Drosophila melanogaster: one gene and its partner. The protein of the gene in region 2 interacts with the protein of the main gene of each other region in a pairwise test. Each region holds a gene or a part of one and is shown on either strand. Other genes may lie near its edges. The genes, in order: l(2)k14505 and CG34227.

Region 1 (3,774 bases), on a different chromosome or scaffold from region 2:
AACACTTTTTTTTACATTTTTTTTTAGTGAAAAGGCACTCACAAACGCACACCAGCACAAACATTGGAACAATCACGCACTCGAACGACGCTGCTTACCAAACGCGCCAGTAATATTATCAACTGCCTTTGCTTTCGTTTGTTTTCTTGCAAACTTAGCTTTCCTCGGATTTACTGGCGAAAAATGTAGTTTTGCACTTGATTAATTAGCAACAGAATACCACCGATGATGCGCCACCCACGTCCGAACCAGTGTGACCGCAGTGTACAGTAGGACTGTACCGTAACTATTTTAAAATACCAAGCAAGTATTTATCAGAATATACCACACCTACGAAAAAAAATTGCTTAATTATTTTTGTTTTTTGAGACTTCCTCTAAGCGCCTATTACACTAGCACTTAATTTTTTCTTAAGTAAGATAAATAAATGTCCATGTTTTGCCAATGGGTTCCAAAAATAGGGTTCTATGTCAAGGTGCAAAAAAACCGAACCTTAAATTAGGATTAAACAAACTAAATATTTCTAAAATTTAGTAATCTCATTCAAATTTAAAAATGTTACATATATCCTACACATTTGTACATGTGTAGTTCCAAAAAACTTAATGTACTTCCTTATGTTCACTGCCTCCACGTATTGCTGTACCAGAATCCTTGTGGCTTACTAATTAAAATCAGAACTAAAATTCAGTTGTGTTATAAGAGACGTCAAAAGAGTATGTTACTTTCGTGCTTAAAGAAAGTATGAAAAAATGATAATATAAACCGTATTATTACAACAAAAAAAAACCGGTAAGAGCTAAAAAAAAAGGGAGGATGACCTGACCTTGATAAGTTTCAAACTAGGCACGATTTATATACATCTATTATTATGTCCTAGGTCCTAGGAGACCTACATACGTGCTACCATAACCCTGTGGTAGTCAGCTCATATGTATGTTGAACAGGTATTTTAATTTTAAAGAATTATCTTTTGCTTAACAAGGTTTTCCGAACAGTTAAGGTGTACGAAGAGCACGGCAGCCGCCAGGCGTGCTTGCAACTCCTGTTGGCTTAAATCATGTGCCCACTCCACGCGACCCCAGAACTTAAGTTGGTATTCTTCCTCTAGACGCGCCAGGGCCACAGCCTTCTCCACGGTAAGCATCTGCTCGATGACGGCGCAGGCAAGGACAATCGACTTTAAGGTGTCCACAGCGAAAATGAAGCCTGGAGGAAAATATATTTAATAGACGTTGAACTCCAGACTTATGGTCTGCATTACCATGCAGAGTTTCCAAACTGTAGGACTGAAAATGCTTTGCGACATTCATTTTATCCTGCTCGCTGACCTGAGGCGGCGTTATGTTCATGGTCTTCTGCAGGTTTGTGTCGTAGCGCTGGTTGAACCAGGCGATCACCGGGTCCCATTCATTCACCTGAAGGTCCTGCAGGTCCTTTTCGTCCTGCAAAAGATATATGTCTGTGGAATGTGCACTCTAATTCTCAGTTGATTCACTCACATCGTACTGGAAGAGCACCGTGTCTGTGGCGATGAAGTTGAGAAGGTAGTTGACCATGTCCAACTTGGAGAGGTGATTGGGATTGTCAATGGCCGTGAAGCAGAGCGCGGATAAGTGCATGCGGGAACGCTCGATGTTTTCCTTCTGAGCGTCGAACTCAGTGGCTACAGCAATGGCCAGGGGTTCGCTGCGGACGATGAAGGGTGTGCCCTTGGGCGTTTTCAGTTTCCGGTGATCCAACACCACTTCATAGCCGCTGTCGCCGCTCAGTACGGAAGTCTTCTTGTAGAATCGCTTGGGAGGAGAGGCTGCAGGAGAAGAACCGCCGATCGCGGGATGTTATGAAATGGCAACACACGTTTTTATTCTGGCTATCGCGGCTTACCATAGTGGCGCACAGTGAAACTGCTAGCGGCTCCTTTGCACTGGCTGAAATTGGTCAACCGGAGAGCTCGGATGGCGCTAACTACATACTTTCCGTTCATTTTTAGAGTTTGTCTGCCTGTCTACTTGTCTTCAGCTGTTTAACAGCAGAGTTGAGTTTTCAGTGTGGCTGTAGTACTTTTTCCACAAATCTCAATAAATCAGTCGTAGGTACTGTTTACCTTTCTGTGCTACTCCACTGCCTTCATAAGGACATCGAGGGTATTCCCTTAGAGGAATTAATCGCCATTTATAGCTTCTAGTCGAGTAAGCTTTTAACACTTGGGTCTCTTTTAGCGACTGCAGATGTCACTATGCGCACTAATTGCATGTGCGGTATTTTTAAAAAACTTGTTTGTTTTTATTAATTTCTGACTATTGGATATGACCATTGTATATGTTTGGCCTCATCATATTTTTGGCACATCGATACAATGTGCAAGACAAATGATAAAATCAAAACCTTTTCCAAAACTGTAGCAGTGACAGTTGTGGGCGTTAGTATGATTGAGGCAACGTTCTGAAATAAGCTTGCAACGCTGAAACTTTAGCAACATATTCTAAGATAGTGGTGGCTCTTTCTAACCATCTAAACACATTCCTTTATAAGAATTTTATTTAAAAATATGAATCCTTATTTTTGGGCAAACAAATGTTCTAAAGTTGTAACATACAAATTTTCAAATGGATTAATTCGTACCATTATAAAGTATGTATATATATTATTACTAAATTATTCTGTACTACTAATGTGGGATGTATAGATTACACATACTAGTTTTGTTGTAACTTTCGGTTGCTACTTTAAATTAGAAAAAATCTGTATCCACCATTAAATTATAAACTCATGTCTTTATATAAGCAATACAATAAAATAAATTAATTTGTAACCAATGAATAACTAACAACATATACATACATATATATATATATATCGGGTAACCGTTCAGTCTATAAATTTCAGGACCTGTTGCAAGCACTCATTTATCAATCATTCTATCCCAAACATAGTTACTGTTACATTTTTTGTGTTGTTCAATGTTTTGATTAAAAGCAGATATGGAGCGTGCCTACATAAACATCGAGAAAAACGAGGATAATAATCAAACTTTTGAAAAATGTTTTGATATTTATTCATATTTTTATTAGTCTTAAAAATTTCTGTCGATTTGCCAAACAACTTTTTGACCCGCCCATTCTATAGCCCTAAAACCGCAAAAAACTGCCACGCTGTTTGATAAAAATTGATCAAAAATGGCAAAATATTGATTAAAAACAAGAGAGAATGCTATAGTCGACTTCCCTGACTAGCAACCTTCTAGCTTTTATCGTTCCTGAGATCTTGACGTTCATACGGACAGACGGACATACCTAGATCGACTCGGCCATTGATCCTGATCGAGAATATACTTTACATTGTCGGAAACGCTTCCTTCTGCCTGTTATATACTTAACAAGGAATCTAATATACCCTTTTACTCTATAAGAATTTTGACGTATCAGTTTATTCAAACGAAAGGGCAGAGCCAGATTGAATAAGCTGTTGGGAACATTTCCTTTTACCTGTTTTCAAGGAATCTAGTATACCCTTAGGCTCCGTAATAACAGTGAAACTAATATTGATTTTTCGCATTTTTATTACAAAATATTGCATTGACAATTGTATATCAATTATTGTTGAATTTTACTTATTAAATTTATTTAAAAGCAAAATTGAGTTTTAAATTTAATAAATGATGAATTTGTACGTAGCTAGAGCAAACATCACACGCAAGGAAAACTGTTTTACATTAAATATTGCGCTATGGGTTTATTATTTTTCTTTAACTATTTAAGCAATGCGCCTAGA
Region 2 (3,303 bases):
TCTGTCTTTGGATCTCTGGATCGAATAAAAGACCGCAGCTTTGGTTCCAAAAGTTACAGTTGCACAAAGCAAAGATCCAAGCACAACCGAAGAAATCTCTCCACGAAATCACTGACCCGAAGTATCTGCAAGATGCGTCTAATCCTTCTGTCCATCGTTGGCCTCCTGTGTCTGGCCTATGCCCTCGCCCTGAATGAGAATGCAGCTGCTCTCGAGGATCTGGTCAATCTAGGAGCAGAACATGCCGAAAGCGGAGTGCGAGATGCTCGTGGTTAAGGTCATGGCAACTACGGACATGGCAACTACGGACATGGCAACTACGGACATGGTCATCACGGGGGTGGTGGTCATGGACATGGACATTATGGTCGCTAGTGTATTTATACATTTTTAAACTAACCCTGATGACAACACATATATTTCAAATACAATTTATTAAAATAAAGTAGGTTCTCTTCAAACTGCAATACGATGTCTTTAATAATAAAGAGGAAATCTGAAACTAATACTATAAATCAAAAAGTACTTCTTGTTCAAAGAAATCTTAAAGGTGCCAAAAGAACACACACATTGTGGTGAAATAAAAATGCTGACATGATAAATTTAAGATAAGCTGTTTTAAGCTTACTGTTTAAAAACTACAGTAATTGCACTAAAATTTTTTTAAGAATTATATTTATTAGATTAAATGAAGAAAAAACTCAAGGGCCAATGACGAGCCCCTTTTCTATATGAAAAATAAGGTAGAAGAGCTTTATTTTAAAAAAAGCTTCAGAACGTCCGATTTCAATTTTGTGGATTTTAAGTTTATTCACTAGTAAGATCCATATCCATACAAATCAGTAGGCGTGTTATTTCTTGACTCGCACGAGCTAATTTAGTCAAATTAGTTATTTGGTTATATTTTGTTTTGAAAAGTATTAGACGCCATACGGTATATTTCGATGGGAACCAGTATGACAACTCAAGTTTAACGGCTTGCACTCGTAAATCCCCAGTTGTTTACTTTTTAGATTCTAGATCAAGCAAGTCGATCTTGACATTCATTAAACAATTGAGAGCCTATTTGCATATGAATCCTTGTGAATGAGTACTATGTTAATTGGGATTAATGATTAGCAGATTTGTATTAAATATTATATTATTACACACGATATGCGATGAATAGAGGTTATACTAGACTCGTTTAAAATTATGTATGTAACAGGTTGAAGTATGCGTTTCTGATCATATAAAGTATATATATTTTTGATCAGGATCGCTATGTCTGACCATCTAGGGCAGCGCTCATGTATCAAAAGATTCTTTGTATTATTTGGTTCAACATGCACTTCTATTAGTACTAGCTAAGAAACGGGTATCTGATAGTCGAGGATATCGAATAAAGGGTTGCCTCATGTTTAACGCTCTACTCAGTATTCAACAAAATGTTATTAGGATTGACCTGACATCAACATGTCTGTTACAGTCCAGATTTAAGTCAAAGATTTGTTTATATGAAACTTAAACAATTTAAACCTACATGTAAATGGAAAGGTTTCTGTTCTGTATATTTGGCTTTGTTGATTAATAATTAATTAAATATGGCAATCGACCTGTCACTTAGCTGCCGATGCACTTTAGTAAAAACCCATAAAACAAAACAGGTCTCAATTGTTGGCAGTCAACGAATCCTAATCGAATGATCTATGTATGAAACCACTTAGGAGTAGCATCCCGACAACTTTCGCAAATGAGACATTAAAAATTTGGAATGATTCAGTAATGACAGCCAAAACAAAAAAAAAAAAACAAGAAAAAAATGGTACACAGAATAAAAAAGAGTGTAATATTTGTGTGGTGAAATATATAGCGATACAAACCAGAACCCGGTTAAAAAAGCCCCTAAACAATCGCACCTAGAGGCCAAGTAGGTATATAGTACATACACAGTATAGTACGACTATGGCAAGAGGTGGTGGTGGAGCTATTGGAGGGGGGTGCTGTGGAGAGACCCGACTCATCGATGCGTATGAGAACAGGAACGTCAAGTGGCGAGATCTTCGCATATAAGGCCCGCGATTGAGACGAACAAATCATCAGTTGCACGAGTCTGTCGAGTCTGTATCAGCAACCCATTGAATCAAGCAGAAAGCAAGATGCGTCTAACACTTCTGGCCCTCATCGGTGTCCTGTGCCTGGCATGTGCCTACGCCTTGGATGATTCTGAAAACAACGATCAGGTGGTTGGACTCCTGGACGTCGCCGATCAGGGAGCGAACCATGCCAACGATGGAGCCCGAGAGGCCCGCCAGCTCGGAGGATGGGGCGGTGGATGGGGTGGTCGTGGAGGATGGGGCGGCCGTGGAGGATGGGGCGGCCGTGGTGGATGGGGTGGCCGTGGAGGATGGGGTGGAGGATGGGGCGGTCGAGGAGGTTGGGGAGGTCGCGGAGGTGGTTGGTATGGCCGATAGAACGGCTGACGTCGCTGACCACGCCTCCGACCAATCCCACCACTTGCCAAGTCAGAAGGATACCCTGTCACCAATGTCATGGCGTGAATAAAGTACTTTGGAGCAATTAAATTTCGATTTTTATTTGGTATGCCTAACGAGTGGCGTTTTTAAACCCATTATTTACTATCAAGGGAAATATTCATAATAGAAAATCATCTCCAGTCGTCGGATTGAGCTAAAAGAAATCAGAAATCCTGGAAGCTCTCAATAATCTTCTATCCATAGGACCACTAAAAACACAGCTTCGAAGTCTTTAATAATATAAATTTTGGATCAATCTGTAATGATAGGCGGCAAAACAAAGTTCAGTGCGTCTAATTGTAGCAGAAAACTTATCTAACATCGCTGATGTAAGCCACAATTTGACCAGATCCACCACCTGCCAAGTGAAAAGGACACCCTCCCATGGGCTTAAATGTGTTATTCAGGACTAATGAAGCACTTAAACTTGATTTTCGATTCGTGTTCTTGAAAAGGTGTCAAACTGAAGTGGTGCATAGGCCTATTATTATTCCCTCTTAGGGGATATACTTATCCTGTCCAGCGTTTTAAACATACATACGCCCACACAAGCTTATTTCACTCTTCAACCGTCTGGACTTTAAAATTGAACACAGAGGTTGTTCAATATTTTCCATATTCATCAGACGGTAAAACATTAAATTCCTGTTTGTCATAATGGAACATTGGCGATAATGGAACATTGGCGATCAACCGGATAGTTTAGTAGCAGTACATTTAGACCTGTCGGTGGTTTCTCGATTTCGGTGCGGTACTTGTTTGAAAGTGATAGTAGAACGAACAGGCA

The links.
Region 1: the proteins of CG34227 (region 2) and l(2)k14505 interact in a two-hybrid assay, tested with the Drosophila melanogaster proteins (one large-scale study listed by BioGRID).

Annotation. Positions count from the first base shown.
Region 1 is NT_033779.5:21,259,448-21,263,221, reverse strand, and holds l(2)k14505 (lethal (2) k14505), read right to left. Parts: upstream 2,055-3,774; 5' UTR 1,988-2,054; coding exon 1,888-1,987; intron 1,811-1,887; coding exon 1,503-1,810; intron 1,446-1,502; coding exon 1,265-1,445; intron 1,210-1,264; coding exon 959-1,209; 3' UTR 811-958; downstream 1-810.
Region 2 is NT_033778.4:11,246,050-11,249,352, forward strand, and holds CG34227 (uncharacterized protein), read left to right. Parts: upstream 1-2,076; 5' UTR 2,077-2,138; coding exon 2,139-2,453; 3' UTR 2,454-2,561; downstream 2,562-3,303.